Oryctolagus cuniculus: one gene and its partner. The protein of the gene in region 2 binds, or shares a complex with, the protein of the main gene of each other region. Links are inferred from orthologs where the notes say so. Each region holds a gene or a part of one and is shown on either strand. Other genes may lie near its edges.

What was found. Proteins that work in one complex are often made in the same cells at the same time.
Region 1: the proteins of TACR1 (region 2) and TAC1 are in contact, whole or in part, in a cryo-EM structure (PDB 7P02), measured with the Homo sapiens proteins. The link is inferred for Oryctolagus cuniculus from reciprocal best matches to the Homo sapiens genes TACR1 and TAC1. Residues at the interface, in NP_001049.1 of Homo sapiens: Gln24, Phe25, Asn85, Asn89, Tyr92, Ala93, Asn96, Trp98, His108, Asn109, Ile113, Gln165, Met174, Arg177, Val179, Cys180, Met181, Ile182, His197, Val200, Phe264, Phe267, Phe268, Tyr278, Leu279, Ile283, Gln284, Tyr287, Met291; in NP_003173.1 of Homo sapiens: Lys60, Pro61, Gln62, Gln63, Phe64, Phe65, Gly66, Leu67, Met68.

Annotation. Positions count from the first base shown.
Region 1 is NC_091447.1:38,673,759-38,679,442, forward strand, and holds the start of TAC1 (protachykinin-1), read right to left. Parts: upstream 3,676-5,684; 5' UTR 3,518-3,675; intron 3,216-3,517; 5' UTR 3,207-3,215; coding exon 3,084-3,206; intron 2,195-3,083; coding exon 2,098-2,194; intron 1,686-2,097; coding exon 1,641-1,685; intron 1,172-1,640; coding exon 1,148-1,171; intron 1-1,147. UniProt on the Homo sapiens protein: Tachykinins are active peptides which excite neurons, evoke behavioral responses, are potent vasodilators and secretagogues, and contract (directly or indirectly) many smooth muscles.
Region 2 is NC_091433.1:127,837,129-127,842,302, forward strand, and holds part of TACR1 (substance-P receptor), read left to right. Parts: intron 1-3,706; coding exon 3,707-3,857; intron 3,858-5,174. UniProt on the Homo sapiens protein: This is a receptor for the tachykinin neuropeptide substance P. It is probably associated with G proteins that activate a phosphatidylinositol-calcium second messenger system.

The sequences.
Region 1 (5,684 bases), on a different chromosome or scaffold from region 2:
TATCATTTGCAATACTGATAGAATCTGAGCTAGCTCTGACTTTCAGGGAGTCAGTTTCAGGTTTGTATGGGAGACAGATAACTAAGCTTGTTTCCTCGTGAGACTAAATGTATTATTTCTCAGAAAGCGAGTCTTAGTTAAGTCAGATTCGAGCCCTTGATGATTAACTATCTCTATTTTATTAGATCTTTAAAAATAGTCTATTCTTGTTGGAAGAGTGAATTTGTTTTGACTTTAATAGAGTACATTTATTTCTCTCACATAGAACTTCATTATATATAATTCTCTTGATAGACAAGTCCTTAGAAAGTAAATATGTATAGCATTTATTTATTTTCAAAGATAAAAATCTTTGGAAAAGATTTATTATTTTAATTCTAGTGGGAGAATTTCTCTTGATTTTTGCAGTATCCTTGGGACTAGGGCTGTTAGTTTAATGCGATCTACTTTGCCATCCAGGCAGCCCAATTTAAGACAAGGCACATAGATGTACTGTGTGATTAACGCGGACCCTGGGACTTCCTGTCAATTTGGCTCCAGTCACCGGGATACTAAAATCTAAGGACCCTCAAGTGCATAACTCTGACATCTTCTCCACCCCAACAAATGCTCCCTGTGTGTTGGCTGGCGAAAGCTTCCCGCTGCATTATGGAACCAAAGATCTTCATGTCCATCATTATCTTTACATGGATTCTACTTAGCTATTCACTCCCTCATTCACTCAATTGCCTGCTGGATGACCTCAAAACATGATCTTCTAGGAGACCCAGCATATTAAGGTGAGTGAGAAGGAGCCCATAAATACTTGGATTTGGGTACTAGGGGAGGCTGGAGAGGACTGTGTGAGGTGGGTCACAATCCTGTGATTTGACCTCTTACCAAAAACTAACAATTTACAGGGGCTAAAGGACAGCTTCCTTTCCTTTTTAAAACATCAAGTATCTTTTTGGTAAGAGCCATATTTTTAAGAAACAGAGCTTGACGCAATCATATTCTATATAATAGGAGTCTCATCCACTCTTATATAGTCTCCATTGACATATTAAGTCTATGTTAAGACTGAAATTAAGGTCAGCTATTGCATAAAGTGGTATTCAGTCTTGTTAACATTTGCACTTGAGAAATGCCAAAATAATCTTGAACTTACTTTTGTGAGAAATCTGGCCGTGTCCTGGCAGGAAGAAAGGTAACAGTTAACCAACACGTGCAAGATCTGTGCAGAGCTCTATCACATCTCTTAAAGAGGCTGCTAAAATACATCGATTTTCAAAATATGCAACATATTCCACTCCTGTCCCACCCTGAGAAATATAGCGGGACCATAAAGGCTAACCAGATTATTCATAATAAAAAGCAAACTAGTTTACAGCCCAAAGAACCATCACCGAGGGCTTTCTCTAGACCAAGGCTTCACACCCAAGATGCTGGGACACCTGAGGTCTGGCATTAACTGTCAAGCTGTGCCACCTCTCATCTTCAAGGCCTGACACCCCACCCGTGTGCGAGAGAGAGAGAGAGAGACAGACAGACCCATCTCTTTACCAAACAGCATAACCAGGATACTGCGTTCAAGCCCTACAAGATTTCCTTCACTTTTCTAATGAGAATTCACGATAGTCAAAGATTGATAGAGTGTTTACCATAAAGAGCCTTTAACAGGGCCACTTGTTTTTCAATTGAGGAATCTGACAAGAGAGGAGTTGGCATTAACTATTTACGTCCCACTGATGTCGCCATCAACCCAGGGAAACTGTGTTTCCATCTGGAGCCTCGGCACAGCCAGGTCTCGCCTAACCCGGGGGGGGGGGGGGGGGTGGTCAGCTTCCACGTGCACCACGACCCTGCGGACGCCTCCCCAAGAACGCCCCCGCCCGCCCCTCCCTTGCTAATTGGTATCCTTAGTAAGGGGCGCGCTGAGCTAAGGCTGGGTCCTGGATTTGGCGGTTTTGTGCACTCGAATGCCGGCGAAGCCCTCCCTCTGCAGGCAAGTGTGCACAGCGCCTTAGAGAGGTCCCGAGTCCCACCGCTCTTAGGATGGACTTATCTACTCATGGAGCAAGACACGAGCGAGCAGGCAGGGAGGGTTGCCCATCTCACCAGCATCCCGTTTGCCCATTAATCCAAAGAACTGCTGAGGCTTGGGTCTCCGGGCGATTCTCTGCAGCAGGTGCTCGAAGGGCTCGGGCAGCTCCTCCTGGAAGACAGACGCGCGGACACACGGGCGTGTGGGCCACGGAGCCAGGTGCGGGGTGGCCCGTGCCATTCCCAAAGCGCGCCCCGGCCCTGGGCGAGCCCCAGCGAGCCAAGGCCCGGGCGGGGAAGCCAGCTCTGCCCAGGGGGGAGGGGGGTCTGCCCCACGTCGGGCGCGGTCTGCCACTCCCGCACCACTCCAGCCCCGCGCCGTGTCCTCAGGCCCGGAGCCCTGCTCTCCCCTCTGCTTCCACGGACCCTGCTCATCTGCAGAGCCGCCCTCCCCCGAGCCCCTCCAGCCCTCCGCCGTGACTTTGTCTCTCCCTGGTGCGGGCTCCAGCGACCTCTTGCTGCCCCGAACACACACAGGTGTGTGTGTGTTTGCAGGGGTGGGGGGAGGGGGTGCTTTCCCCGCAACCCGCACCGCAGGCTCCCTGGCGCCAACACGTACGAGAGCCACCTAAAGCGAAACTCGCAGGTCCGCAAAATGAACTCGCAACGACCAGTGAGCCCCCGCTGAGCGCTCCTGTCCCCGGGGACCCCGTGTGTTTCCCAGCGCGCGGACAGGGCGGGAGACTGCACCTGCGTGAGCAGCGTCGCTCGGGGATGAAACCTTGCGAGGTTTCCAGCCTTCTGGCAACCCGGGGCTCGTAGGGGCGGACTGGACTCTCTCGGAGAGATCCCAGACCCTGCGCTGCAGCCCCAGGGAGAAAAGTTGGGTCCTGGGTGCAGAACCAGGGCGGGAGCGAGGGGGTGGGGTGGGGTAGGGTGGTGGAGCCACTTCCCAGCACTGCGCGCCCGCACTGCTGTGGCCGCGGCCGGGCGGACCCGCAGACTTCGTGGGGTCCCAGCCCCGGAGGAGCGGCGCGGGCTGTTCCCGGACCCGGGCTCACCTTGATCTGGTCGCTGTCGGACCAGTCGGACCAATAATTTAGATCATCGTTGGCTCGGATGTCTTCCGCAGACAGTTGGGTGGAGACGAGAGCCAGGACTGCCAGGGCCACGAGGATTTTCATGTTGGCTTTCTGGGGAGCAGTGGGAGAGAAGGGGACGGGAGGTGGGGTGGAGGAGCCCGTTGATCGGAGCGGCTGTCGGCGAGTTGGGGCAGCGGCATTTTCGGCCCCCAGACGGCACCCGGGATGAGTTGAACCGGGATGAGAAGCGCGCCTGGGTCCCGGGCCTCTGCTCCCCAAATCCCAGCAGTCCCAGGCTCCCCCAGCCCCCAACCACCAAATCGCACTTCCCTTCCCGCGGGACAAAGAAGAGGGTCAGTCTCCCACCCCGGCCACGCGGGATGGCTGCGCTGTGGCCCAGCGCGGGCACTTACGGCGACGGCAGGCCCGCGGGTCCCTGGGCTGCTCGGAGCGCACGCCGCGCGGTGCGGGAGGAGGTGAGCGCGCGCTGTGGCCCGCTCGGAGCCGCGCGGTTTTTATCCCCGGCTCGCGGAGCCTCCGGACCCACGTGACCCGCCCCCCCTCCCCACGACTTTCTGCTCAATATTTAATTAGCCGCCTCTTCCTTCTCTGCCGGCGTGATTGAGAGTTTCCGAGACGGCAACCCGTCGGTGCCCATCACATCTGGACCCCACTGGGCCCGCAGTGACGCAGTGTTAGGCAAGTCGAGGCTTCCGCATCCGTCTGCGGAGCTGACGCCCCCTCCCCTCGCCTTGACACCTGAGATTACTCATCAACCTCCAGCAAAGTGACTCATTCCTTGGACTGGGCCGACTTTGGAGAAGTGATAGTTTTGAAGCCAGCCGACCGGGTACCTGTGGGCAGCAGGACCGGGTCGAGGGCCAGCGGGCCACGGAGGGGGCGCTTCCGTGGGCCTTCCCGCCTTCACCTCTCCTAAATCCCCGGCAGCACTCACACTTCCCCAGCGTTGAGAAAGGGGTGTCTCAGGCTCATAGCGCTTCCGGGGAGGGAAGAGGATTTATTATACGCTTTAGGGAAACTGCACCCAGAGGCGCCCCGAGGTGGCTCCTGTCCCCCAAATCCTCCTCGCCCTGCACAGGAGGGCGTTTTTGCTTCTCTCCCACCCTGTCTTGCACGTGCCCGGCACTCTTAGCTGGTGTCACCCAAGGCATCCGCGGGGACTTCGCCTGTGCATCAAAGTCGGTGCAGTGAGCACGCGGACCGGCAGCCGTGCAGTCGTCCACAGCACAGAATTGTTAGGAAACTAAGGTCAGCGCCTGCTGGAGATCACAGCTTCCCGGGAGTGCACGCTTGCCTTGAAGACACATTTCCTTTACCTGAAGAGCAGAATTACAGGTGTGTGTGTGTGTGTGTGTGTGCGTGCGTGTATGTGTGTGTTGGGGGGAGATAGAGAAAAAGTTCTGTGGGCTGGTTCACTCCCCATTTGGCCTCTACGATCCGGCCTGGGCTAGGCCAGAAGCCGGGAGCCAGGAGCTCCATCTGGGTCTCCCATGTGGGTGCAGGGGCCCAAGCACTTTGGCTGTCTTCTGCCGTCTTCCCTGGGAGCTGGATTGGAAGTGGAGCTGCTGGGGCTTGGACCTGGGCTCCACTATGGGATCTGACGTTCCAAGCAGCCGCTTAGCCCCACTGGGCCACAATGCTGCTGGAGACTCGTTTCTTGCATCTTTATCAAAACTGAATGACATTGTATTTTGGGTGGAATAGTTTTCTCTTTTATACTTAGTATTAAAAACTTCAGGTAATTATAATTTTAAGTACAATGCACGATGGAAATAAGTTTTCGGAACTTAAGTATACCAGTAATACTTTTCCTCCAATATTTGTTCTTAAATGACAGTGAATTTTGAAATTTTCATGTGTCTCTCAAATTTTTTTGACCTAGCCTCACAGTGTGAGCATTTCCTGTTTTAGTTTTCAAAACGTTTTAAATGGCAAATTATAAACATACAAAAGTAGAACAGATCATTGATTTGAAGCAATTTGCTTGTTCAAATACAGTACTTCCTATTTCTCCTCCACTCAGATTATTTTGAAGCAAATCCCAGACATCTCATCATTTCATCTGCAAACATTCTAGTGTATCTATCTAAAAGGTAAGGATTCTAAAAATAAAAAGATGAGGACAGCGTTGTGGCATAGCTGTTAAAGCTGCCGCCTACAGTGCCGGCATCCCATATGGGGAGCTGGTTCAAGAGCCAGCTTCTCCACTTCTGATCCAGCTCTCTGCTATGGCCTGGGAGAGCACTGGAAGATGGCCCAAGTCCTTGGGCCTTGTACCCGCATGGGAGACCCAGAAGAAGCTCCTGGCTCCTGGCTCAGCTCCAGCCATTATGGCCATTTGGGGAGTGAACCAGTGGATGGAAGACCCTTCTCCCTCTCTCTGCCTCTGCCTCTCTGTAACTCTGCCTTTCAAATAAACAAACACAAATTTAAAATATATATATATATAATCATATAAGAGTGGGAATAAGAGAGGGAGGAGATGTACAATTTGGGACATGTTCAAGTTGACTTGCCCCAAAATGGTAGAGTTAGAAACATACCAGGGGACTCCAATTC
Region 2 (5,174 bases):
CTCTGATCCATTTAGAGTAGATTTCTGTATAAGGTGTAAGGTAGAGATCTTGTTTCATGCTTCTGCATTCAGAGATGCAGTTTTCCCAGCACCATTTGTTCAAGAGACTGTCTTGGCTCCAGGGATTGATTTTTGCTCTTTGTCAAAGATAAGCTGGTTGTAGATGTGTGGGTTAATTTCTGGAGTTTCTATTCTGTTCCATTGGCCTACATGTCTGTTTTTGTGCCAGTACCAGCCTGTTTTGATTATAACTGCCCTGTAGTATGTCTTGAGGTCTGGTATTGTGATGCCTCCAGCTTTGGTTTTGTTGTATAAGATTGCTTTAACTATCTGGGGTCTCTTGTGTTTCCATGTGAATTTTAGCATTATTTTTTTCTAGATATGAGAAGAATGTTGGTATTTTGAATGGGAAAACACACTGAATCTATAAATTGCTTTCAGTAGTATGGACATTTTGAAGACGTTGATTCTTCCAATCCATGAACAAGGGAGATTTTTCCACTTTTTTATGTCTTCTATCTCTTTAATGTTTGGTAATTTTCATTGTAGAGATCTTTGACATCCTTGGTTATGTTTATTCCAAGATATTTAAATTTTTGGTAGCTAGTGTGAATGGGGTTGATCTTGGAAGATGCTTCTCAGCTGTGGCATTTTCTGTGAATACAAAGGCTATTGATTTTTGTGTGTTGATTTCATATCCTGCTACTTTACCAAACTCTTTTATGAGTTCCAATAGTCTCTTTGTGGAGTCTCTTGGGTTTCCTATATATAGAATCATGTCATCAGCAAATAGGGATAGTTTGACTTCTTCCTTCCCTATTTGTATCCTTTGAAAGCTGAATATAGATCTACCATATGACCCAGCCATCCAGTGGGAATTTATCCAAAGGAAATGAAATCAGCATATGAAAGAGTGATCTGTATCCCTATGTTCATCTCAGCACAATTTACAATAACTAAGATACGGCATCAACCCAGATGTCCATCAACTGAGGATTGGATAAAGAAATTATGGCATATATGCACTATGTAATACTACACAGAGGGTAAAAAATGAAATCATTTTATTTGAAAGAAAATGGATGTAACTGGAAACCATTATACTTAGTGAAGTAAGCCAGTCACAAAAAGACAAATACCATATGGTCTCTCTCTCTGATCTGTAGTAACTAAAAGAGTACCTAAAATGCAATCTATAGGAGTGAAACTGACACTTTAAGATGCGTTGATTTTGAACAGCCTTTGCCCTGACTGTCGAACTTTTTTTTCTTTTTTCTTCATACTAATTGGTGAACTCTCTACTTAGTGTAAGATTAATTTTATGAGTATAAAAACTATATGAAAAATCAATCTCTGTGAAAAATAAGAATGGTGAAGGAAGAGGGGGGAGAAAGAAGGGCAGGAGTATGGGTGGGAGGGAGGTAGAGGGGGAAGAATCCTCATGTTTCCAAATATATATATATATATATATATATATATATATTAAATGCATGAAGTTGCATTCCTTAAATAAAATATTTTTTAAAAAGAACACTGTTGGGGGGTGGCATTGTAGCATAGCAAGCTAAGCCTCTGCCTGAGATGCCATTATCCTATGTGGGCACCAGATCAAGTGCCCACCAGGTCAAGTGCCCACCAGTTGCTTCACTTACAATCTAGCTCCCTGCTAATGTGCCTGGAAAAACAGCAGAGGATGGCCCAAGTGATTGAGCCCCTAAACCCACATGGGAGACTGAGAAGAATCTCTGGGCTCCTAGCTTCAGCCTGGCCTGCCCTGGCTGTTGTGAACATTTGGGATATAAACCAGTGGATGGAAGATCTCTTTCTCACTCTATCCTCTTCTCTCCGTAAATCTTTCAAATAAATTTTTAAAATTAATATTAATTAAAGAAAAAAAGAACTCTTGGAGTATCTTCTAGTTGCAAATTTTAATAATCAGAGAAGGCTAAGTAAGTGGCAAACTATGGGCTTTCCAAGAAGTGATTGAATGTAAACAGCATATAGACAAGGGAGATATTTAGTGAATAAGTGGGCTTTCCTTATTGCGAGACAATCATCACAGAGAATAAGCATAGACTGCCAACATATGGAAGAAAACAATTTATGGATAAATTTTATCCAGTGAAAAGAAGCTGATGCTGGGGTCACAGACCTGTGTTCTAAGCCTATCTTCTCCCTTTATCAGCTGTGAATTTTAGCAAACTGACTAAATTCTAAGCTTCAGGTTCCTCATCTAGAAGATGGGATGATGATGGTGCCTACCCAGTAACTGAAGGAGTAAATTTTCAGTAAGATAATGCCAGTAAAATGCCTAACTTTGTGCTCTTGGCAAACACTCAACACAACTTAGCTACCATTTCTGTTACATATCTACCATTAATATTATTAGTAGCACAATAACCTAGAGTAAAGTTAGCTGTTCTCTTCATCACCATCATCATCATGGTAGGAATGCTGAGCCCCTTCATTACACTCACATCTGGATTAAGGGCTGTAACTAGACAAGCTAAAGATGCTCTGAGTGAAAAAAAAAATCTTTCTCAAAATTAAAAAAAAAAAAAAACTTATTTGGGTCTCCTACTTAGAAGGAGACTTGATGTAAACAGAGTAGGACATGTTTTGCCACTGGAATAAGCTCCAGGATCTGAGTGGTGTTATGCTGCAAAAGGTCTGTTTCCTGCTAGTGCTGCAGTCAAATGTGACTCTGCTGGCATCTTTCCTCCAAGTGGTGGCTCAGAGACCCAGGCACTTCCATCTGAAGATGTGTTCTCAAGGGCCATGCACAAGAATAGCTTCTACCCTGTGGCTTTCCTCCAGAGACTGTTCTAGGATCAGTCTTATCTCACTCCCCCCTCTCTAACTCTGATATCCAGGAATCCATCAACCATTGTCTAACTGGTCTACTTGTTTACATCCTTGCACTGAAATTGAGCATTAAGTGTTGTCCAGCAGACATAACTGAAGGCATACCTCCTTCATTTGAGAGCATGTACTTCTGCTAATGCCATCAAAATTTGCTATCTCTTTTATGTGGAGTGATACTGCACTAACACCAACTGAAATTGCCATAGATATACAATTTTTTTAAGATTTATTTTATTTATTTGAAATACACAGTTACAGAGAGAGGTAGAGCCAAAGAGAGAGAGGTCTTCCATCTGATGTTCCACTCCCCAAATGACCACAATGGCCGGAGCTGAGCTGATCCGAAGCCAGGAGCCAGGAGCTTCCTCTGGATCTCCCACACGGGTGCAGTGGCCCAAGGACTTGGGCCATTTTCCACTGCTTTTCCAGGCCAAAGCAGAGAGCTAGATTGGAAGTGGAGCAGCCGGGACTTGAACCGGCGCCCATATGGGATGCCGGCACTGTAGGCACAGTGTAACCCACTGTACCACAGTGCCAGTCCCCATAGATATACAATTAATATACAATTAATTCAGTTCCCCTCATCAGCTTCTCTTCTCTTTACAATCTGAACAGTAATCTCTACTATGGGAAAAGTCCACAAGAAAAACATAAATGGAAGAGATTTGCTTTCCCTATTTCACCCATTAGTCATTCATCCACCCTATGCAAACAGCATACCTCCTTGGGATGTCCTTACAGCCCAAGCTTATTAACAGCAAATGCTGAGAAAGGAACCCAGGCCGTCACCACCCACCTCTGTTGCTTCTTAGAGCAGCCCCTCCTATCCTCCTTGTTGCAGGTACCACATCTGTGTGACTGTGCTCATCTACTTCCTCCCCCTCCTGGTGATTGGCTACGCATACACCATAGTGGGCATCACACTGTGGGCCAGTGAGATCCCTGGGGACTCCTCTGACCGTTACCACGAGCAAGTCTCTGCCAAGCGCAAGGTGAGTAAGGGACAAAGAGCACCTAACCCACCGTGGCACAGGTGGGAGGTGTCAAGTGGGGTCTGCCTGCCAGCCCCAGAGACTCTGAACACCAAACATTCCTGGGTCTGGAGAACAGCTGAAATGCTGGGTCTTCGGTGTTCTTGGAGCCTGGGTCTGGTTATATAGGCATGAACCACTTCACTTGCTCCGTAAGAGTAATTGGGGGGTGGGGGGGAAGCTATTGTAATCCATAAGCTGTACTTTGGAAATTTATGTTCATAAAATAAAATAAAATAAAATAAAAAAAGAAAGAGAACTTGTACCTAATGGCAGTTTAAAAAAAAAAAAAAAAAAAGAGTAATTAGAACCTGACAGTCCACTAGAACACACACACAGTGGAGAGTTATTTGGTCCTCTTTTATTATTTATTTGAAATTTAACAAAAGAATTGACTCACATGGTTCAAACATCAAAAAGTACTAAATGGAACAAAAATTACAGTGATGGAGAACAGCTAAGAGGTTTTCCAGGGGTTAGTTCTGGGGGAGACATCTGCTTAAAAAGGGAGTAAGGGAGAGGGAGCAGCTTTGCATCCTGAGTGTGCTGAGATTTCATAGAACTGACTGCCAAACAGAAGCACACAGGTAAAAACTGGCAACCATCCAAATGCAGTCAGTGACTGAGTGAACAGCACCAAACCAATGCCAGTCTCCTGGTTTTGATAATGTAGAGTGGTTATATAACACGATCTCATTGAAGGGTACCTGGGAACTCCTTGTGTTTTTTCTGCAACTTCTTGAGGGTCTTAGATTAGCTCAAAATTAAAAGTTACAAACAGATTAAAAATCCTACCATGGAAGGCTCCTTTCCTTCTAGGTCCTCCATTTTACTCAATTCCCAAGCACACACATACATACACATACAGACAAACACACAATGGCGACCACTGTTGCTTCTTGTTAGTTCTAGATAAAAACATTTAAAAGCTAAAAAAATAGTATTATTTTCTTTTTTATATACATAGTAAATTTCTCCCTCTTATTTTTTTTCACTTCATAAAATCCACAAGATCTTTGAAAGGAAGTCTTTTTGTTGAAAATCTCTTTTTTTCCTTTTTGACATTTCCTTGCATATTATGTCATGCTACATGTATAGACAGCTGGTACTATGTAGGTCTTCACCTAAGATTTCTGGGTGCTAAAAATAAGAGTGTCGCATCACCCATCGTCCTATCCTATTTGGGCTGCTGCTAACACAATAGCTTTGGGAACTGTCAAACGACAGAAATGCATTCATCACAGCTTTGGAGGCTGGGAAGTCCAAGATCAAGGCCAG